Linked DNA regions of Sus scrofa. The protein of the gene in region 1 interacts with the protein of each later gene in a pairwise test. Links are inferred from orthologs where the notes say so. Each region holds a gene or a part of one and is shown in the gene's direction. Other genes may lie near its edges.

Region 1 (7,593 bases):
TCCAATTTGACCTCTAGCCTGGGAACTTCCATACGCTGCGGAAGTGGCCCAAGAAATGGCAAAAAAATGTAAAAAAATTAAAAAAATAAAATGAAATACTTAAAAAAAACCACATGACTGTTGGGACTATTTTGTTCCACCTGTCTTAGTACATATTGTTTTTTGAAAGGATTTAGTGTCTGCTTTATTGAATTGTAACAACAATTTTGGTGAACTTGGAGTTTGGAGGAAGTTCTGAAGGCAGCAGGGAGTAGGGACTCACAGGGAAGCCTTCTGCTGATGCTTGCAGGACTTGTCACAGACTATACTTTTTCATCCCTTCCTTTAGTGACAGGTCATGTCTCTATCCCACTTGTACCGGGACGGAGAAGGCCACATGGATGATGACGAGGATGAGCGGGAGAACTTTGAGATCACCGACTGGGATCTCCAGAATGAATTCAACCCTAACCGGCAGCGCCACTGGCAGACCAAGGAAGAGGCCACCTACGGAGTGTGGGCAGAGCGTGACTCAGATGAAGAGAGGCCCAGCTTTGGAGGCAAACGGTATGGCTGGCATGGGCTGCTTCCCCAGGAGTTGGGGAACTACCCCACTAAGCATCTGTCTCTCCTAGCCCCACTAAGTCCCTTAGCTGCATCATCAGCCAGGGAGCCAGTTCCTCTTTAGGCTTGGGTGCTGGCCTCTCACTGACTGGGTCATCAGTTGGTGTTAATTGAGCAATTATGTGTATTAGGCCTTGTGCTTTAGGCCCAGTCCTTGCTTTCCAGGAGCTGCAACTCTGGCTGTTGGAGACGGGCATTGATCAACAGCAGAAGTGGAAGTCTGTAACTGATTGAGGACCTGAGGGGGGACCTATTTTAGGGTGTTTGACCTATTCGGGAGGTTAGGGAAGATGGAGAATCAGGGCAGCACCGGTAAACAAAGGCCTTTGCTGGGAGGCAGCAGGGAATCCAAGAGGACATGAGACGTTGTGAGCTGGAGAGGGAAGGGGTGTCATCTGAGAAAGAGGCCTTGGGTCTGTGTGGAGAGGGTGTGACATGCGGGGAGGGGGCGTGTTTGAAGATCCTTTTGCTCAGGTGCAGGCTCGGGGTTGAGCCACAGTGGAAGAGGGGCCTCTGTGAGGAGGCCCGGGCCAGGCAGTAGTAGAGACCAGGGCTGGGCTGGTGGCAGGGGATGAGGACTGGGACTGAAAGCCCCCTCCTCAGCGTGGAGTTGCCTGTGTTGGCTGCAGCTTGCCTGACCAGAGTGTGTAGCAGGTTTGGCTTTGTCTTTCTGTCCCCACCTGAGGCCTGGAGGCTCCAACCCATTGCAATTGTACATTTTTGACAAAGGAGGCTGGGAGTTCCCACTGTGGTTCAGCGGGTTAAGAACACAACCTAGTGTCCCTGAGGATGTGGGTTTGATCCCTGTCCTTGCTCATGGGGTTAGGGATCCAGTGTGGCAGTGGCTGTGGTGTAGGCTGGCAGCTCAACTCCAATCTGACCTAGCCTGGGAACTTCCATATGCCACAGGTGTGGCTATAGAAAGAAAAAAACAAACCAACAGAAAAAAGGAGGTTGGGAGAAAGAGCAGAAATCAGTGCGACCTCTTCTCATCTGTAAGAAATCTAAAGTGAATGATGACTAGATCAGGGATCAAGAATTTTATGTCTATAAGATAGTAATGGCCTTCACTGCTTCCTTGTTCAGGCGTGGTCTCTATTACCCTGCTTACAAGAGAAAGGTGCCATTATTATCATCCCATTTTACAGATTAAGAAACTGTGGCCAGGAGTTGCCTGGTGGCCTAACAGTTAATTATATGGCATTGTCACTGCTGTGGCATGGTTTCAATCTCTGGCCTGGGAACGTCTATATGTTTCTGCCATGGCCAAAAAAAGGAAAGAAAAAAACTCCAGCCAAAAGTCGTACAGCTAAACTGTTAGAATCTGGACCTTACTCTACATTTGGGCTCTTATATTGCACCTCTAGGAGAATATTCTCTTAGTTTTATTGCTGCCATGGAGAGGTTTCTTTACGAGGTTAGTCATTTTATAAAGCATCACCTTATTTTGCAATACTCTTGGGGACTTTCCTTGTTTGATTTTTGTGCTTGAAATAGTGTCTGAAACAAATGCTTTGTTTTTCTTTTTCCTTTTTTGGCCACCTCACGTCAGAAGGAGTTACCAGGCCAGGGATCAGATTGGAGCTACACTTGTAACCTATGTTGTTGCTGCAGCCATGCTGGGCCCTTAACCCCCTATGCTGGGCTAGGGATCAAACCTGCATTGCAGTGCTCCAGAGACAACAGTGATCCCATTGTGCTTACAGTGGGAACTCCTTGTGTTTATTTTTAAAAGAAAAAAAAAATTTTGAGTTCCCTTGAGGCACAGCAGGCTGAGGATCTGGCATTGTCACTGTAGTGCCTTGGGTTGCTGCTCTGGCATGGGTTTGATCACAGGCCTGGGAACATTCACATGCTACAGGCATGGCCAGAAGAAAATTTTGTTTTTTTAATTGAAGTATATTTGATTTACAGTGTTGTGTTAATTGGTTTATCATAGGACACTGAATATGGTTCTCTGTGCTGTACAGGACCTTGTTTATCCTCTCCACGTATAATAGCTGCATTTGCTAACCCCAGCCTCTCACTCCACCCCCTTGGCAACCACAAGTCTTTTCCATGAATTTGTTTCTTTTCTGTAGATAGGTTCATTTGTGCCACATGTTAGATTCCAGATATAAGTGAAATCATATGGTATTTGTCTCTTTCTGACCTGCTTCATTTGATACAATTAGTATGAGAGTCTCTAGTTCTATCCACGTTGCTGCAAATGGCGTTATTTTGTTCTTTTTTATCACTGAGTGGTATTCCATTGTGCATATGTACCACATCTTCTTAATCCATTCCCCTGTTGCAGGACATTTAGGTTGTTTCTATGTCTTGACTATTGTGACTAGTACTGCAATGAACATAGGAGTGCGTGTATAATTTTCCTTGAAATCTTTGTCTGGATATATGCCCAGGAGTGGGATTGCTAGATCATCTGGTAGTTCTATATTTAGTTTTCTGCTGTACCTCCATACTGTTTTCCATTGTGGTGGGACCAGTTTACATTCCCACCAACAGTGTAGGAGGGTTCCCTTTTCTCCACACCCTCTCCAGCATTTGTGATGCCATTCTGACAAGTGTGCAGTTGTACCACATTGTAGTTTTGATTTGCATTTATTGAATAATTATTGATGAGCTTTTTTTTTTTTTTTTTTTTTTTTGCTGTTGAGTTGTATGAGTTGTGTGTATTTTGGAAATTAAGCGTTGCATCATTTGAAACCATTTCCTACCATTCTGTAGTTTGTCTTTTTGCTTTTTTTATGGTTTCCTTTGGTGTGCAAAAGCTTGTCAGCTTGATTAGGTCCCATTGGTTTATTTTTGTTTTTATTTCTGTTATCTTTGGAGACTGACTTAGGAAAACATTTGTACCATTGATGTCAGAGAATGTTTTGCCATGTTCTCTTCTAGGAGTTTGATGGTGTCTTATGTTTAAGTCTTTAAGCTATTTTGAGTTTATTTTTGTGTATGGTATGAGGATGTGTTCTAGTTTCATTGATTTACTGTCCATTTTTCCCAGCACCACTTCCTGAAGAGACTGTCTTTTTCCCATTTTATAGTCTTGCCTCCTTTGTCAAAGGTTAATTGACCACATGTCCAGGTTTATTTCTGGGTTCTGTATTCTGTTCCATTGATCTGTATGTCTGTTTTTGTACCAGTACCATACTGTGTTGATTACTGTAGCTTTGTAGTATTGTCTGAAGTCTGGGAAAGTTATGCCTCCTGCTTGGTTTTTGTTCTTCAGGATTTCTTTGGCAATTCTGGGTCTTTTATGGTTCCATATACATTTTTGGATTGTTTGTTCTAGTTCTGTGAAAAATGTCATGGATAATTTGATAGGGATTGCATTGAACCTGTAGATTGCTTTGGGTAATGTGGCCATTTTAATGATATTAATTCTTCCAATCCAGGAGCATGAAATATCTTTCCATTTCTTTGAATTTCTGTAGTTAATTTCTTTTTTTTTTTTTTATGCTTTTTAGGGCCACACTTGTGGCCTATGGAAGTTTCCAGGCTAGGGGTCAAATCACAGCAACATCAGATCCGCATCTGTTGACCCACACCACAGCTCATGGCAAGACCAGATCCTTAACCCACTTAGTGAGGCCAGGGATCAAACCTGCAACCTCATTGTTCCTAGTTGGATTTGTTTCCCCTGTGCCAAAATGGAAACTCCTCCATGATTAATGTTTTATAGTTCTTAGCATATAAGTCTTCCACCTCCTTAGTCAGGTTTATTCCTAGGTATTTAATTTTTTTTGAGTGCCATTTAAAAATGTTGTATTTTTATATTCCTTTTCTAATACTTAATCCTTAGTATACAGAAGTGCAACTGATTTTTGAACGTTAATCTTGTATCCTTGAATTTTTGCTGAATTTGTTGATCAGTTTGAGTAATTTTTGTGTGGCATCCTTAAGGTTTTCTATATATACTATCATGTCATCTGCATAGAGTGACAATTTTACCTCTTTTTTTTTTGGATACTTTTTATTTCTTTTGTCTGTCTGATTGCTGTGGCTAGGCCTTCCAATACTATGTTAAATAAAATTGGTGAGCGTGGACATCCTTGTCTTGTTCCAGATTTTAGTGGAAAGGCTTTCAGCTTTTCGCCATTGAGTATCATTCTGGCTGTGGGTTTGTCATGGATGGCTTTTACTGTGTTGAGATGTGTTCCCTCTATACTTGATTTGGTAAGAGTTGAATGGATGATCCAACTTGAATGGATGTTGAATTTTGTCAAATGCTTTTTCTGCACCTATTGAGATGATCATGTGGTTATTGTCTTTTTTGTTGTCGATGTGGTGTATCACATTGATTTGTGCACGGCGAACCATCCTTGTAAACTTGGGGTGAATCCCATTTGGTTATAATGTGTGATTTTTTTTTTGATGTCTTGTTGGATTTGGCTTGCTGATATTTTCTTGAGAATTTCCGTATCTATATTCATGAAAGATATTGACCTGTAATTTTCTCTTTTTTCTGGTTTTGGTGTAAATGCTTTTTAAAGTAAGTTAATTTTAAAAACGTAAAAGGAAGAGCTCCTGTTGTGATTCACTGGTAGTGAACATGACTAGTATCCATAAGGACGAGGGTTCGATCCCTGGCCCACTTAGTGGGTTAAGGATCTGGCACTGCCATGAGCTGTGGTGTAGGTCGAAGATGTGGCTCAGATCCGGCGTTGCTGTGGTTGTTGAGTAGGCCTACAGATACAGCTCCAGTTGAACCCTCTCGCCTGGGAACTTCCATATCCCACAGGTACAGCCCTCAAAAACAAAAAATAAAAAATAAAATGGATCCCACAAGGTCAACTCTAAGGAACTCTCTGGCCAGCAAGGTTTCTACATGGGATGGTTTCAGGAGAGTTCTTAATGACCCTATGGGCTGTGGGGCCTTGTGTTTTTACCTGCAGGGCTCGTGACTACTCGGCACCAGTCAACTTCATCAGTGCTGGGCTCAAGAAAGGGGCAGCAGAGGAGGCGGAGCTGGAAGATTCTGATGATGAAGAGAAACCTGTTAAGCAGGATGAATTTCCTAAGGATTTTGGACCAAAGAAGTTAAAAACGGTAGCCTCCTTATTGACGTGTTGTGACTTTAGTAATATCCCTGGAGCATCTTTGTGGTGCAAGCATCTGCTCACAATTGGCGGGGGCGGGGGGCGGCGGCATTGTGTGGGTCTCCCTGTGGTAGTGCATCTCCCTGAGGGGTGATGTGTGCAGTGCAGTCTCTTCTATTCCCTAAGATGCATCAGAGGTAGGTTTGATTGGTGAGATATTTTTCATAATGCTCTGTGACTGCCAGGTCATGCTCCCATCAGCTAAGCTTGCTTTATTACGTTTTCCTTCTTTTTCTATTAACTAAACTTTGATTTTTCTCCTTTTCAGGGTGGTAACTTTAAACCCAGTCAGAAAGGTTTTGCAGGAGGAACCAAGTCGTTCATGGATTTTGGCAGCTGGGAAAGACACACAAAAGGAATTGGACAGAAGCTGCTTCAGAAGATGGGCTATGTCCCTGGAAGGGGCCTTGGGAAGAATGCACAAGGTGTGGCAGTCCCACCCCACAGTCTTGCACTTGCTGTCAGGCAGAGGTGGGAAGAGCAGGGAGGGCAGTGGCCTCCTCTTTTCTGCTTTTTCACTGTTCGGAGGGCTGGGACCCTGCAGCCTGTTCTGCCAGCACAGATGCTGTGCTCTATGCTTCATGCTTTATCAGAACTCAAGTTACATAAAATACTTGTTTCGGCAGGAGGGAGAGGTTAGGGTTTAAATCAGGCTGACAGGCTGAGAACAGGCTTCTTTCTAGCCTGCCCGGTGTTTCTAAAAAATCAAACTGGTTGCCAATATTTAAAAAGCAGACAGTTTCACTTCCATTCTAGAGTTGCCTGGCAGTGACTGGTTTAGCTGAGTCCTTGCTGTCCCAGTCAGCACCCAAGGCCTTCTCCTGGAAGCTGCCTCCACACTCCCCTTTTACTCCAGCCCACTTTCCCTGTTCATATTAATGTTCCTGGACCCTAAAGGCATATGAGTTTGGACTCTTGCTCATGCGGGGGCAGGACAGGTAACTATTTTTTAGTTTTGCAAAAAGCCAGTTACCTGTCCTTCAGGAATATCAGTAAAACATCAGGTGTTGCCTTTTGTTTTACAACACTCACCAGTGGGATGTCATCAGTAGTATTCTCTGTAATTCAGATTCAGCCCCTAGGTATTATAAAGTTAGATATGGATTGTGGGTTGAAAACATCAGCCGTATGAAGAATCCATGGACTTGAGTGGCAATGGCATGGGAGTGAGGGAAGTGTGCTAATTGGGATTTCAACAGTACTAGCTGGAAGGGGCCTGGTAGGAAGTCTGGGGTGTGGCAGTTCTTCACTGAAATGCAGTCCTGTTTGTAAACTTTTACAAGAAAAATACTTATTTTCCAGGCTTAAACTTGTTATAGCTCATAGGAGATATGAACTCCTAAGTAAAATAGGTGGAGTTTCATATTAAATGGCAGCTTCACCTTACTTCAGTCAGAATCAATATAATATCTGAATTAATGGGCTTCCAAATGAGCAGAGTATAGAATCTAATTTGCCTGAGATCCCAGTTATAAAATATTCCTGTCCACTAAAAAAAAACCAACAAGTCCAAGTAGAAATGGAAGTCTGTATTTAGGATACAAACAATATCAGCACACTGTTTTGTGGCAGCACACACGCTCAGAAGCTTCTGGCCACACAGGAGCCAAACGGTGTCGTGAGGGCAGAAGCATGTTTCCTTCCTGGGTAGCATGTTACTGTGTGTGAGGACCAGGAGTGTGGTCTCCCTGAGTGGCTCACTCACAAGAACTGCTGTGATCTGAAGTCTGTCTTTTGCTGCAACTTGCCAGGTATCATTAACCCAATTGAAGCCAAGCAGAGAAAGGGGAAAGGCGCGGTGGGGGCGTATGGCTCAGAGCGCACCACCCAGTCCCTGCAGGACTTCCCCGTGGTTGACTCTGAGGAAGAAGCTGAGGAGGTGAGTCAGGAG
Region 2 (7,593 bases), on another chromosome or scaffold:
GATGCTGGCGTACTGGATGCTGGAGGTACCGCCCGGACTGGTCTCCCCTCCCCCGCCACCCTTGCGTCCCCCAGCTCCGGACATCCCGGGGCCGCCCTGTCGGGACATCCTGGTCCCAACAACAATCATCAAGATGTTTCTGTGGCGCACATCCCCGGGGCCTGGCCTTGCGCTCGCGCACCCTAGCCGGCTGCCTCCCAGGTGGTCCTTTCTTTCTCTTCTCCAACCCTGGCTTTGACTGCCAGTCGTTTGGCACCCTAACTAACCCTCTCTTGGGCCGGGAAAGCGGGACAAGGGCCACCCTCTCCCCTCCGGCTTCTCCCAGCGTCTCCTGCCTTGCTCCCCTGCCCGGCCCTCTCTGGAGAGCGCGGCTGGAAAACCTTGGGCTCAGCCGCCCCCGCCGCAGAGCCGGTTCCTGTGTGTGTCGCGGGGTTCTGGCGGGGAAGGCGGTGGGGGTGGCGCGCGCTGTTCCGGCCGTCAGGGAAATGAAAAGTGCGGGAGGCCGCGGCTGGAGTCTCCTCCCTTCCCTTTGGGTGTGTGCAGTGGGTGGCGGTAATGGGGGTAAGGTCCCAGTTCTCTGGCTACAGTGGGTGACTCGTCCGTCCCCCATCGCCCTCGGTATGGGGGAGGGCAGACTCAGTTTGGAATCCTTAAGGGAGCCTCTGGCTTACAGCCCCCCTCTCCCCAGCCCCGGGTGTGGGGGTGGAGGCAACGTCGAGGAAGTGGGGGGGGCGTCACCTTGGGGAAGGCGCATCCTGCGTTTTAGTCCCTGTCACTGTAAGGACACCTACCCCCTGCCATTTCTTGCTCCCCGTCCCAATCCCTTTCAGCCCCCCCCCCCAACCTTTAGTGCTGCTGCGTCTCCTCTGCCTCTGTCCCAGAAATGACCGTGCGCCCTCCCCCAGGTGTGTGAGGAGCAGCGCTGTGAGGAGGAAGTCTTCCCCCTGGCCATGAACTACCTGGATCGCTACCTGTCCTGCGTCCCCACCCGCAAGGCGCAGTTGCAGCTCCTGGGTGCGGTCTGCATGCTGCTGGCCTCCAAGCTGCGCGAGACTACGCCCCTGACCATCGAAAAACTGTGCATCTACACGGACCACTCTGTCTCTCCCCGCCAGCTGCGGGTGCGTGCACAACTCCCCCCGCCCCCCAACATCTCCTGCCTCCTCACTCACCAGAAAAAGGAAAGCTAAGACCTCGGGCGGCTTTCTGCCCTTGCACAGGGTAGCAGAGGCTTTTTAAATTTTTTTTGGACAAAGGATGGGGCCGTGTGGTGTGATGGTCAGCGTAGCCCCCGCCCAGGTCGTAGCCGCCCCCCCCCGTTCCCCCCCCCCACGCGCTCCCAGGCCTGCGCTGCCGGCAGGAACTAAATCCCCTTCTCCTGGCCTCCAGGGGGTGCCACTCCTTCCTGGTCTTTCCTCCAGATAGCAACAAGTCAAACTGCATGTCTACACTCACTAGTACTTTGCCTCTGGGTTTACACAGCCACCGTGAGTTATTTATTGGCAGCAGCAGGACGTGCCTGCGCACCCCCACTGGAGTCGGGGAGTGGAATGTGCTTCGTGTGGGGGAGGGGGGCTCGGTTGAGTCTTTATCCCAGTGTGTGGACTTTGTGATGGAAAAGCCTCCCAGAGCAGATTAAAGCCAGGCGTTGGTGGCTCTGAGGCAGGGCCGTGGCGTTTGGTCCCACCTTCTTCTCTCCTTCCTCTTCTCTCCCCAGGGAGACCGCTCCTTCCGAATCCTCCCTTCCTAGCCTCTCTCTGAAAAACCTGAGCAGCTGCTCCTGGCCTGGTGGAATCATCTCTCCCTTTCCCCCTTAGCCAAAGGCCAGAGCTGAGGGACAGACAGGGGGGCTGAGCTGCAGCTGCTTCCGATGTGATAATGATGGCCTCTCCCCAGGCCCACCCACTCTGCCCAAGGTCTTTCATAACCCTGTGGGGAGCTGCTGTCACTCCTGTGGTTTGGGAAGTGGCTCCCTGGGCCTCTTGCTGGGAACTCAGGCTGGGTGCTTCCGAGACAGAGGAGTGATGGGCTCTCCTTCCCCACTGAGCTGGGAGAGGAGGTTGCTGAGGGCCTGCAGATCATGCTTGGGGGTCTGGGGGAGAGGGCTGAGCCGGCACCTTCCTCCACCTTGCTCTGCAGCCGCCTGGTCAGAGCAGGAGTCCTGGGGCCCCATCTCCCGGGGAGGAGGGCAGCGTGCCGGCTGCTGTGATTGGCTGGCTGGGAAGCCAGGGTACTGGGGCCCCCGAGTGCTGCTTGTCGAGGAGCAGGATTCCTCTTCCTGCCAAATAGCTCTCAGAGATGGGAGTAGGAGGCCGGAGTTGGGAATCTGGGAGGCCCCACAGCTCTTGGTGATGAATCTGGTAGTTGTCGGCAAGTCTGAAGGTGGAGCTGGTTTCCAGGACTAGTAAGCAGACTGTTTTTGGAGGGGTTGGGGCTAAGAAGGTAGAAGGGGACTTCCTTTTTGTGGAAAGATTGGGGTGATGTGGGTGCCTTAGGTGAGGGAAGTTTTTCAGAATAGACAGAAAGTCCTCGACCCCCACTCCCGTGCCTGGGCTGGGGGTGGAGTGAGCCGGTGACTCCCTAGAAGGTTAGAGTTGGAAGCCCCCCCCCCACCCGGGGGGCCCTGAGAGCTCCAGTCAGTCCAAATCCTTGTGCCACAGAGGCTGGGACCCAGAGGAGAGAAGGGTCCTACCTCAGCATTGCCCTGGGGCAGAGGAGCAGGCTTTGGGGGTGCTAGCTAGCTCAGGTGGCCTCCGGTAGCCTAAGAGGTCATGGAAGCTGCCAGGCATGTGTTCTCTTCTGAGCTTGGGCTGAGATTCAGGGGTTGCCTGGATACAGGCTTAGGTGGCCACCCTCCCTCATGCAGGGCCCTAGGCCTCTCCACAGGGAAAGCCCCTCTCCTAGTTGCCTTCCAGATGTTTCCTTGTTTGCTTCGAGTTAGGAGCTTGAGTTTGACCGCTGGGACAAGGACCAGGAGTGGGACGCTAGCTTCTCTGCCCTGCTTCTCCTGGCCCCAGGCCAGGCTGTTTTCTGTGGGGCACTGTGAGACATTTAAGAGGATGACACCTAGGCGGGGCCCGGAGACGGAGAGCTGTGTGTGACTGGGGGCCTCGAAGAGGTTGGGTGGGGTCACCCTTTCTACCTTAGTGAGGGGTCAAACCCATGAGTTCCTTCCTGAGACGGAGCAGTGAAGAAATCCTCATGTGTGCAACTCAGAAATGGGGCCAGGGCTGGGGACCCCAGACAAGTGGATTGGGGTGGGGCCCCCAGCCTCCTTCCAGGACCTAGCAGTGGTGCAGCAGCCAGGGCAGATGGAGAGGAGGTTTGCCTCCTCAGGGATCATCTGGATCCATCCTGTCTGGCTTGGCCTCCACTTCTCTTCCTGAGACTCCAGTGCTTCTAGCGGCCATGGGTTCCAGCCAAAGGGGTGGAGTGGGGTGCTCTACCTCAATCCCCCCTGCCCCCCCCACCCCATGTCCCACCAAGGGGATGTGGGTTGGGTTGGGCAACCTCCACTTTGAGGAACCTCAGGGTTGGCTCACGGGCTGTGTCACAGGAGGTGTGGCCTCATGCTCACCCCAGTTTCTTCAAGAGGTGTGGACTTGATTGGGAGGCTCTGTGGTGGGAGAGGCTAGTGGTGAGCTCCCCTTTCACAAGTCCTTGGGATCACGGAGTCTTTCTGCTTCACACCAGAGGAGCCTCAAGTTCATGGTGATGCTGGTGGTGTCTGCTGCAGTCTTGTCTTTCAACCCTGGCTTAGAGAAGTACTCAGAGCTCTGCAGGAAGTCAGGAGAAGGCCTGGATTATTGGCCCCCAAAGATTAACCTAGCAGGATTAAAAGAGACGATTCACGTACAGCACGTCATTTTGGCACCTAGAAAGTGATCAATACGTGCTCAAAGCAAGTGTCCCCAGCTCTGTCCTGCCCTGGGCGCCCCACTCCCCTCCAGTGCCAGTCCCTAAACTCAGAAGCAGAACTGGGGTCCTGACCTTCAAGTGTGATGGGCTTCCTTCCCCAGGAGACTTCCTCTTTACTCCCGCCCCTTCCCTTTAGCCACTAACTCCACCCTCTTCCTCAACCTCCAGGATTGGGAGGTGCTGGTCCTGGGGAAGCTCAAGTGGGACCTGGCCGCTGTGATTGCCCATGATTTCCTGGCTCTGATTCTCCACCGGCTCGCTCTGCCCCGTGACCGACAGGCCTTGGTCAAAAAGCACGCCCAGACCTTTTTGGCCCTCTGTGCTACAGGTAGGAGTCCGACACACATTTTTGCCAAACCAGAAAAATTGTAAGACTTAAACGCGTGAGAGGAGACTAGGAGATTCTGATTTATACTCTCTCAAGATTTGTGAAGGTTCTATCCCCTGAGTCCCCAGCTCAGAAGAGCAGCAGAACATGGAGCTGTATGGGATTTCAGAGACAGCCCCCCGCCTTAGGTGGGTGGGGACATTGAGGGCCTAGGGTCTCACAGTGATGAAGTTGGTAGCAGAACCTGGGTCTCTTAACCCTAATTTTGTGTCCACACCTGGAAGAGACTCATTTACTCCCTGGTCCCTGGCTAGGATCACTACAGACCACCCTGGACCAGACCCTTGCCTGCCTCTCTCTCCCCACTCACTGCTGGGGTTTTCCTGTACACCCCTGCCCGATTCATACAGCCTGGCACTTTCTGAGGAATGGAAGGGCCATACTGTTTGTTATCCTTGAAATCTTCCTGCTTCAGTCCTTTCTTCCCCCCCACCCCCCCCCAAGATTACACCTTTGCCATGTACCCGCCATCCATGATCGCCACGGGCAGCATTGGGGCTGCAGTGCAAGGCCTGGGTGCCTGCTCCACATCTGGAGATGAGCTCACGGAGCTGCTGGCTGGGATCACAGGCACTGAAGTGGTGAGTGTTGGGCAGTGAATGGTGCAGCAGTTCCTGAGGCTATGCTATTCCTTGAGCCTCCAGCAGAGGGAGCTGTCCCCCCTCCTTGGTCCCCACCTTCTGTGGCCTTTACTCTCCTGCCTTGGTCTGGAGAAGAGCAAGTGTCTTGGGTGGGCTGAAGGGCATTGTCCCTGGGTACCCTTTTCTTGCCAAATCGTGTACAGGAGTGGGGTTGGGGGTTTGGTGTCAGATGCTGGGCTGCTCTCACACCCTCTTGCCACATCCTCTTGCCAGTTTCTGAGAATCGAAGGCTGATTCCTGGGGTTGGGCTGTGGCCTCACCTCCCCAGACTTCCCTGTGTGCTGGGAGGCGTCCTCCAGCACCTGCTCCTAGACGCTCTGGCAGGAAGGAAGTGGGCCCTCTTCACTGTTCCCCCTGTGTTCCCAGGACTGCCTGCGGGCCTGTCAGGAGCAGATCGAAGCTGCCCTCAGGGAGAGCCTCAGGGAAGCCGCCCAGACCTCCCCCAGCCCAGCGCCCAAAGCCCCCAGGGGCTCCAGCAGCCAGGGGCCCAGCCAGACCAGCACTCCCACAGATGTCACAGCCATCCACCTGTAGCCCTGGAGAGGCCCCCTCGAGTGGCCACCAACAGCAGAGGAGGGGACACTGCCACCCCCTCTCCTCCCTGCCTGCAGGAACGAACCATGCCACAGCCGAAGCCCGAGGGGGCTCCTTCTTACTCGCCCCTCGCAAGCCGAAGGGCCAGGTCCTACCTATCCTTGCAGCGTGCACTAAGGGCCCAGCCGGCTGTGCTGGTGGCCAGTCAGGCTCCTCCTTCTCCCCGCATCTGACTCTGCTCCTTCCCATTCCACTAGGGGTGGGCCAGACTGGCCAGAGATGAAATTGCAGTAGGTAAAATACATGCACCAGCATTCCTTCTGGGGGACCCCATATCCTGGGGCTCTCGTGTTCTCGACTGCCAAAACCCTCTGATGCCTTGTAAAGGTGCTGCACCCTCTAGTTACTGCATTTGGATTGGAGTCTTTCTGCAGAACCTTCAGATGGTGCGAGGGGAGTCTGGAGAAGTCCTCGCAAGGCACTTGGAGGCCCCTGCGTAATCCATGTCCCCAGCTGCTCCTGGGGGAGGGGCCCCAGCTTCTGTCCGACTCCCTTGCTTGGCTTTTTGCTCAGCTTCTCCTGTGTGATTTGGGGGCCGGGGGGAGAAGGTCAGTGCTAAAGGAAGAGGTTTTAATTTATTAATTGCTTTAAGTACAACTATAAGAAGGTGTGGTGGGCCCCTCTACCCCGAGCGGTGGTAACCCTGGTGGTTGCTGCATCCCTCCCCTCTGCTGCTGCTGGCTCGAGGATCTTTGTGGCCAAGGAGCTGCTACAGCCTGGGAAGGGCCGTGCCCTCCTCTCCCTCTGGCCCATCCTCGGGGTGGGGGGGGAGGTGAAGCAGGGATGACCTGGAGGTGACGGCCCCCGACTGGAGAGGGAGGCAAGCCCTGTTGACACAGGTCTTTCCTAAGGCCACAAGGTCCAGGCTGGTGGCCCAGGACCATCATGCTATGTTAATAAAAATTCTGGAATAAAACTGGCTTTGGCTTCTTGGGATGGATGGTGGGCTGGGCAAAAGCTGATTTCCAGATTGCGTGGGATAAAGAGGGTCCTGAGCAGGAGCTTCCAAGCCTCTTCCATGAAGGGCCAGAGGACCTTAGGCTTTGTGGGCTCCGTGGTCTCTGCCCGAGTCAGTGCTGCTTTATAGTGCAGTGTCCGTGTTCCTAAAAATCACCGCACCATACAAAACTGCACGGCAAAAACCAGAGCTTATGGGAAAAATGGGCCTTGAAGCACCATCCTCAACAACTTATTGAGTGACACTGTCTTGCAAAAAGGAAAGAGGAGGAGTTCCCTTATGGTGCAGTGGGTGAAGGATCCAGGGCTTGGGTCGCTGTTGTGGCACAGGTTTTGACCCCTGGCCCAGGAACCTCTGTGCCAAAAAAATAAAGAGAAAGGAAAGAGGAGAGCATTTTTACACATTAAATGGTTAAGAAGCAAACGCCTCAAGTCTGCTGCTGAGCGTGGAGGTGGGAAGGATGGAGGATGTGGAAGGCAGGTGCCACCAGGCATGGGCGTAGCTAACAGCCACAAGGTGAACTGGGGGCGCTAGCACATGTCTCAGGTGTGTGTGTTTTGTGGACTATCTGGTTTGGCTCAGTTGGGTAGTTTTTTTGCTTTCACCTGGTGTTTCTCAGAGACAAAGCTGCGTATCAACATGAAACTTGCTTTATGATCAGATTCCGCCCAAATACATTCATCACGTGAAAAACTCACGTTTTTCAAAAGCAAATAGTGTTAGCCAGATTCAACTCCCTGCTGTAGCAGGAAAGCAGCCAGAGAAACATGGGCATGACTGTGTCCTAATTAAACTTTATTTATGGACATTGAAATCTGAGTTTCATATAGTTTTCACCTATTACAAAATAGTGTTCTTTTTTTCCCAAACATTAAAAAATATGTAAAACTCATTCTTAGCTCACGGGCTGTGAGAAAATGGGCACGTGACTTTGGCTTGCCAACCCCTGGTCAAAAGTGCTCATTAACTAAGAAGGTAGAAGGGAGCTGGTCTGGTGGTGACCCTGGATCTAGTCATTCCTGGCCCAACCTTCCTTGCCCTGTACCTCCACCCTCCTCTAGGTGCCTCCTCCCAGCTCTTCCTTCCACAGCTGA
Region 3 (7,593 bases), on another chromosome or scaffold:
TCTTTCTTTTTTTTTGGTCTTTTTTTTGGCCTTTTCTCAGGCCACTCCCGCGGCATATGGAGGTTCCCAGGTTAGGGGTCTGATCAGAGCTGTAGCCACCGGCCGACACCAGAGCCACAGCAACGCGGGATGCGAGATGCATCTGCGACCTACACCACAGCTCACGGCAACGCCGGATCCTTAACCCACTGAGCGAGGCCAGGGATCAAACCCGCAACCTCATGGTTCCTAGTCGGATTCATCAACCACTGCGCCACGATGGGAACTCCTGCTGCTGTCATTTCACCGCTTCAAGGAGGGAGTGGAGGCTCAGAGAGGTTGGGACACCTGCTCAGGGTTGCACAGCTTGTAAGTGGCTGAGCCCTTGCTTCTAACCATTCTTCTCTGGGCCCCACAAGGCCACCAACCACTGCTCTTCCTAAAATCACCTGTTGCCCAGCGAAGGGAACTTCCCTACCCTCCAGCCACTCACGAGCACATCAGTGCTCCTAACTGAAATTGAAATGCTCCTGTCCCCTCTCCTCTGGGACGCCTCCCCCCTCTCTGCCTTTCTGGTTTCCTCTGGCCCTTCCTTCTCAGGCTCCCCTGGGTGCTCCCCTTTATATTCCTCGGGTCTTTGTCTCGGACCCCCCCTCCTTTCTCCCTCAGCAATTCCCCGGGCCTCCCGTGGTGCCACCCTGTCAGAGGCCATCCACCCTGTGTCCCCCATGCCCCACGTGACAGTAGGCACCGGGGTGAGCGAGGCAGGAGGTGTGTCCCCTGGGGCATGAATCCACTTCCTGTGGGGGCACCAGGCAACAAAGGACACGGGGCTTTTTAAAGAGTCCTGGCAATTCCCACATACAACAACCCGATTGATTTATGCATGAGTCCCAAATCTGGGTTATTTCCTCCATTCTACCTACTACCTATGGTAGGATAAACTGTTCATTTAATGATTGGGGTTTGGGGGTTGGGAGGAGCGGGGGCGGGGGAGAGACAACTATACTAAAGCAGCAGATAGAGTATAAGGGACGGCTCAGGTTTAGAGCTGGTAAGATATGTGTCTTAGAACCCAGGAGACGGGCCTCTCGCGGGCCCTCATCTCCCTCCTAAGTTCAGGCCCCTACATCTAATTTATCGTGTCTGCAACTGCTTCCTGCCAGCCCCAGGCCAGCCCTGCCCCTGGTGGGTCCGGCCACCCACCCACAGCCTCGCCAGAACTCAGGGCCTCCTCCTCCCGCAGCCATCCATCAGCAGATCTGGTCTCTTCTGCCTCCTGCGTATTTCTGGAATCCAGCCCCTGCCCCTTCTTCATCCAGACCACCAGGGCACCTCCTCGGGAGCTCAGCTCTGATCATTCCCGGCCACCAGCCTGTCTGGCGTTCTCCAGCCAGTGTAGTTCCAGTCTTTCTCCCTCTCTTCCTTCCTTCTTGTATTTCTTGCAGAATGTTTCAAACATACTGAAAAGCACACAGAAGTATATAACGGCACCCGAGTTCTCACCGCAGCTTTATCAAATCAATACTTCCCCCTATTTGCCACTGACTCTTTTTTTCTTCAATGAAACACTGCTAGGAGGTCCTGTTGTGGCTCAGCAGAAACAAATCTGACTAGTTTCCATGAGGACACAGGTTCGATCCCTGGCCTCGCTCAGTGGGTTAAGGATCCGGCGTTTGCCGTGAGCTGTGGTGTAGGTCGAAGATGGGGCTTGGATCCGCATTGCTGTGGCTGTGGTGTAGGCCAGCGGCTTCATCTCCAATTTGGCCCCTAAACTGGGAACCCCCATATGCCACAGGCATGGCCCTTAAAAGCAAAAGAATAAAACACTACTATTAATGGAAACCCCCCGGGGGCCCCCTTCCAAATCCCATCAGAAACACCTTTCCTTAGTGGTAAGGAGTATCCAGATTTTTTTCTTAATCTCATGCTTGTTTTTATTACTTTTGGCAACATGTTACATTATCCATAAACTATGAATAGTGTGTATATATCCTTTTACAGCCTGTTTCCAAACGATGATTTTTAAAAAAACCAATTTGTATTATGGAAAATGTCAAACATACACAAAAGTAGAGAGAAGAGTCTATTGAATGCCCATGGCTCATCACCTAATTCCAACATCGTCTCTGCCATGTTGAAGCAAATATTTTTTTCATCCATAAACATTTCAGCATAGAACCCAAAAGAACTTTTTTTTTTAACATGGTCACAGTACCATTGTCACAGCTACCTCTGGTCAGTGTTAAAATTTCCCCAGTTATTGTACAAATGCTTTCTGCTCGTTTGGTTGGTTGGGCTGTGCCCGCGGCATGCGGACCTTCTGCGGCCAAGGATTGAAGGCTCCCCACAGCCGTGACAATGCCAGATCCTTAACTACTAGGCCGCCAAGGAACGCCTGCAAATGCTTTTTGCACAGCTGGTTGGTTCCAGTCGGGGTCCAGACAAGGTACCCACACTGCATCTGGCTGATGTGTTTGTCAGGTGCCACAGATGTTATTATCATGCTGAGCAAAAGAAGCCACACATAAAAGGGACATACTGAACGAGCCCACTGATGTGTTTCAAAGCAGGTAAAATGAATCTTTGAATCTTTGATAACAGAGGTCACAATTCTGGTTTTCTCAGTAGTGGGGGCAGGGGCAGATACCGACTGAAAGGCGGCCAAAGATCCTTCTAGGCTGCTGGAAACGTCCTAAGACCTCTCCTTCATGTATGAGCTAGAAAACTACCATCAAGAAAAGGACTTCATTGGAGTTCCCATCATGGCTCAGTGGTTAACGAGGCTGACTAGGAACCATGAGGTTCCGGGTTCGATCCCTGGCCTCGCTCAGTGGGTTAAGGATCTGGCGTTGCCGGGCGCTGTGGTGTAGGTTGCAGATGAGGTTTGGATCTGGTGTGGCTGTGACTGTGGTGTAGGCTGGCAGCTGTAGCTCCAATTCAACCCCTAGCCTGGGAACCTCCATATGCCGTGGGTGTGGACCTCAAGAGACAAAAAAAAAAAAAAAAAAAAAGAAAGAAAGAAAAAGAAGGACTTCATTAAGAGAGCCTCCCTTCAACTATTCAAAAACTCTGCGGGTCTTAAAGAAAAAGCTGTTAAATGCTTGATTCTTTAATTTCTATTTTATTTTATTTTATTTTATTGCCCACGCCTGTGGCATGCCAAAGTTCCCGGGCCAGGACTCCAACCCTCACCACAGCAGTGACCCACGCTACAGCAGTGACAGCACTGGATCCTCAAATGCTAGGCCACCAGGGAACTCCAATTCTTAATTAGACTTTTCAGAATACCAAGTTGGCTCTCCAGCACCCTCCAAAAGTGCCCTGTAATGCTGCTAGTATCATTGTGAGCTCATGGTTTGTTTTTTTGTTTTGTGTTTTGTTTTTGGTTTTTTTTTTGCTTTTTAGGGCTGCACCACGTAGCATATGGAAATTCCCAGGCTAGGGGTCCAATCAGCAGCTACAGCTGCCGGCCTGCACCACAGCCACAGCCACGTGGGATCGGAGCTGCGTCTGCGACCTACACCACAGCTCACGGCAACGCCGGATCCTTAACCCATTGAGCGAGGCCGGGGATCGAACCTGCAACCTCATGGTTCCTAGTGGGATTCGTTTCTGCTGCGCCACGACAGGAACTCCCATGGGGTTTTAATATGCTTCCATCCTTTGCACTTATTCTTACTGGCGTTCAAAGTGTCCCATCTTTGGACAGTGGGAGCCTCTTCAAGTTGGCACCTGAGTCCTTTTGACCTCAGTGCTAAGTTTTGGGGAGGTGCTCCCGCGGCTCTGATGCAACCCATCTCTTTGAACTGTTGTGTATCATTGCATCTCTCAGAAACGCAGACAGGAAGTTCTCTCTCTGCCCTGTCCGCCAGTGGATGAAGTCCACAGTCCTCGGGAGGCGCTTCCGTCTCTCCCTCCCCGTCTTGCACTCAGGCCGCTCCCACTAAACTCTCTTGCTTACTGTGGCCATGAACGGGCCACCTGCGCTCATCCTGACCCAGGCTGATCCCTCTACCTGTATTACTCTCTCACCTTCCCCCACCTGTCTTTGGCCAGCTTCTCTTCAAACCTCTGGTCTCACTCTGGCCATCCTTCTCCCCAGGGAGCCTCTTCTGGCTGTCCCCACCTCCCCGCATGCTGGGGGTTCCGTGGCCCTTCCCCACAGAGGATACGTTTGGAGAAAGGCCAGCAGGGCAATTCCCAGAACACCAGTCTATCGCTGGAAATGTTGTGAGATGGAGAAACCACTCAGGGAGTGTCCCCTGGGTGGCCGGGAGGCACACGTTGATAACCCCCCTGGGACATGAGTTGGCATCCTGGAGCTGGTGCTCACACTGCCTGCTGGAGAGGGAGGGTGGCAGGGCTCTTGGTCTATGGATGGGGCCTGTGAGTTCTGGGTGGGGCCAGAGTGGTGGGCTCTGCCACAGGACTGGAGGGGGCCCCTAAGCCTGGCCTGCCATGGGCCCCAGTGGCACCATCTTCAGCCTCCGCTCCAGGGAGGCCCCAGCAACTGCTGAACAAATGCCAGAAATCACCAGGCGGAAGATATTACCCGACAGTCTGCCTCTGCTGCAGCCCCATCCCCCAGCCACTGATAGGGCTTATCGCTGTGTAACTGCCTACTTACCGGCCATCTGGCCTCCCACACCACCCCACATTGGAGGCTTCATAAAAGCGGGGTCTGGCTTTCTTATCTCCTGCTCTAGCCCTAGCATTTAGCACAGTTCCGGGCTTCTAAGTGGTCTTGGTACATTCTTGCCACATACGATCACGATTGAGATTGGAGACAGCGCAAAATCGACCCATGCCCCCACCCCAGGTGGCAATTCTCAACCCCAGAATTAGCAGGGGGAACTTCAGAGCGGTGTATTAGTCCAGATCGCTGAGGCTGGAGCCTGACAGGTGTCCTTTTTGAAGTTCCCCGGTTTTTCTAACACGCACTCAGCACCTGGAGCCCCAGGTCTGGATGCACATGCGCCCAACACGCGCCAAACCAACCCAGGAGGCGCGCAGCGCGGCTCCAAGGGCCTCACAGCCTCTGCCCCTCGACCTCGACCTCGGCCCAGGGCCTCCCTGCCAGGCCAGGAGTTGGGGGCGCAGAGTGCGGGTGGGGTGGGAGCCCAGGGCGGGGGCGCATTGACCGGAGGCTCCCCTCCGCTCCCCCTGCGGCAGTTCGAGGAGATCCACGAGGTGATCGCGCGCTACAAGACGCTGGTGAGCATGCACCACGACCTCATGCAGGCGGCGCAGGAGGGCCAGGAGAAGATCGAGCGCGCCAAGGCGAGGCTGGCGCGCTACAAGGAGGAGAAGGATGACGAGATCCTGCAGCACAACAACGAGCTGGCGCGCCTGCAGATGCGCTTCGACCGCGCACGCAGCGACGTCATCATCTGGGTGAGCCCACGGGCGGGGCGCGTCTGGGTGCCGGGCGAGTATGGGCCACACACGCACGCGTGCACGCACACACGCACACGCACGTACCCATGCTCACAGCGCTCACGCCTCCCCCTGCCCTCGCCAGGAATCCCGCTGGGCACACATCCAGAACACCGCCGCCAAGAAAACCCTCTTGCTCGGCACCATTAAGATGGCCACGCTGAACCTCTTCCAGATCGTGAGCAAGCAGCTGAAGGAGGCGACCTTCGTGTCCCTGGAGGACACCCACAAACAGCTGGACATGGTAAGAGGAGGCCCGAGTGCCCGGCCAGCTGGCTCTACTGAGCCAAGATGGTTCTCCATTGGTCGAGTGGAGGAACGACCCGGGCAGGGTAGTGGTCCTCAGATTTTAACAGGATCGGAACCCCCGGGGGGGGCTGGGAGGATGGCTGGAGCCCACCCGCAGCCTCCGACTCAGTAGTAGGTCAGAGATGAGAACCCATGAATGTCCATTTTCACCAAGTTCCCAGAGAATGGTGTTCACCCGAGTTCCACACTCCAAGAACTGCTTGACTGCGGTAAGACTCGCTTGGCCCCGTCAACATGGGCAGAAGCAAGGACACATGACCGAATTCACTGGCTGTGCAAAACAGCCTTACTCATTTCTGGTGAGATGCTGAAGGCTTGTGAGGGAGGCCTGCCCGTGGGGAAAAGAGAAAATTTGTGGGGAAAAAGGAAATGAGCCAGTGCAGAAAAGTGGAGTCATTCTAGTACCGAGCTGAGATTTTTCTCTTTGAAGTAATTGGGAGGAAATTGAAAAGGAAATAGACTTTTCGCTGTACAGTTCAAAGCTACTTGATGCCTTGTCCACGTACCACCTAAAATCAGCTCCTTCTGACCAAAGGTACACGCATCCCGCAGTTTGGGAACCTCCCTGCTAGCAGGTGCATTCCCCGTGCGTCTTGTGACGTGCAGAGAACTTTGACTTGTTATTTATTCGTTTGGCAAAAGGCTTTAGCTCTGCCATGAAATAGCAGAAAGTAGGCTCCCGAAGGCTGGGATTTCTGTTTGCTTGATTCCCTGCCATCTCTGGTGTTTAGAACCATGCCAGGCACGTAGTAGGCACTCAATAAATATTTGGTGAGTGAATATGAAATACGAGCCAATAAAAGCAATTGACTAAGAGGTACTTCCTCTGTTTAAAAAAAAAAAAAAAAAAGCAAACGATGAAATTCATGAAATGTAAAGAATTTCACCCACTGACCAGCCAGGAAGAAGGATTTCCGTAAAGCAAAGAATCAGCCTGCAATGTAAGGCATGTGAGAACAGAATTATCATCAGCCCTAAGACTGTAAAGAGAATTTGTAGGAAAGATTGTTTTTGAAATAGCGATCCTCATGCTTTTTCGGTATCAGGATAGCTCTGCCCTTATAAAACTCAGCGAAGACCCTCGAAGAGCTGTAGTTTCTATGTATTACAGCTACTGCTGTTTCCCATATTAGAAACTCAAGCCGAAAAATTAAAAATCATTCATTCATTTTAAAATGACAATACGAAGTGTGTTACACAAATAGCATTTTTATGAGAAATACGTTCTCAAAAATTATTTTGGGAATTCCTGCCATGGTGCGGTGGGTTAAGGATCCAATTGCAGCAGCCTGGGTCACTGCGGAGGTGCGGGTTTGATCCTCTGCCCTCTGCAGTGGGTTAAGGATCTGGCATGACCGCAGCTGTGGCATAAGTCAGGATTTGATCCCTGGCCTGGGAACGATGCCACAGATGCAGCCCCCAAAAAAAGGATTTTGTGTGACAAGGGGCATTATGCAACACTTGCAGATCCCTTTAATGTCTGGCTTCTTAGTGGGCAAGTGAGTTCTGACACTTGCTTCTGCATTCAGCCTCTTGTGATGACCTATGTCATGGGAACATCCCACTCTTGTAAAAGCCACTGTCGTCTCACAAGAGGAGGAGGAGGGGAAACCAGCATTATAGTAGCAAGGGTTTTGGTGTCCAGCGGTAGAGTCTCAGGGACTCCCAGGCATCCTTGCGCACCTTTCTTTGGCCGTTGTAAAGAACAACGGGCAGGAGGCGGTGACTCCAGCTGGCCACCCCTTCCCGAGCATCCCCGGCTCAGACCACAGCTTCCACCCCAACATCCTCACTCCTCTCAAGCTTGATTTGCCTGCATCGGAATCCGTCATATTGCCCCAATGTTGTTTCTAAATATCCCACTTC

The links. The genes of interacting proteins can lie anywhere in the genome.
Region 2: the proteins of TFIP11 (region 1) and CCND3 interact in binary tests that used the Homo sapiens proteins (3 or more experiments, as listed by UniProt). The two-hybrid records come from large-scale screens. The link is inferred for Sus scrofa from reciprocal best matches to the Homo sapiens genes TFIP11 and CCND3.
Region 3: the proteins of TFIP11 (region 1) and CCDC42 interact in binary tests that used the Homo sapiens proteins (3 or more experiments, as listed by UniProt). The two-hybrid records come from large-scale screens. The link is inferred for Sus scrofa from reciprocal best matches to the Homo sapiens genes TFIP11 and CCDC42.

Annotation. Positions count from the first base shown.
Region 1 is NC_010456.5:44,104,455-44,112,047, reverse strand, and holds part of TFIP11 (tuftelin-interacting protein 11), read left to right. Parts: intron 1-328; 5' UTR 329-337; coding exon 338-546; intron 547-5,498; coding exon 5,499-5,652; intron 5,653-5,970; coding exon 5,971-6,127; intron 6,128-7,453; coding exon 7,454-7,581; intron 7,582-7,593. UniProt on the Homo sapiens protein: Involved in pre-mRNA splicing, specifically in spliceosome disassembly during late-stage splicing events. Intron turnover seems to proceed through reactions in two lariat-intron associated complexes termed Intron Large (IL) and Intron Small (IS).
Region 2 is NC_010449.5:37,087,047-37,094,639, reverse strand, and holds the end of CCND3 (G1/S-specific cyclin-D3), read left to right. Parts: coding exon of another isoform or gene 1-25; intron 26-905; coding exon of another isoform or gene 906-950; coding exon 951-1,121; intron 1,122-4,086; coding exon 4,087-4,246; exon of another isoform or gene 4,247-4,674; coding exon of another isoform or gene 4,675-4,750; coding exon 4,751-4,887; intron 4,888-5,313; coding exon 5,314-5,481; 3' UTR 5,482-7,304; downstream 7,305-7,593. UniProt on the Homo sapiens protein: Regulatory component of the cyclin D3-CDK4 (DC) complex that phosphorylates and inhibits members of the retinoblastoma (RB) protein family including RB1 and regulates the cell-cycle during G(1)/S transition.
Region 3 is NC_010454.4:53,872,514-53,880,106, reverse strand, and holds part of CCDC42 (coiled-coil domain-containing protein 42A), read left to right. Parts: intron 1-5,154; coding exon 5,155-5,376; intron 5,377-5,503; coding exon 5,504-5,662; intron 5,663-7,593. UniProt on the Homo sapiens protein: Essential for male fertility. Required for sperm development.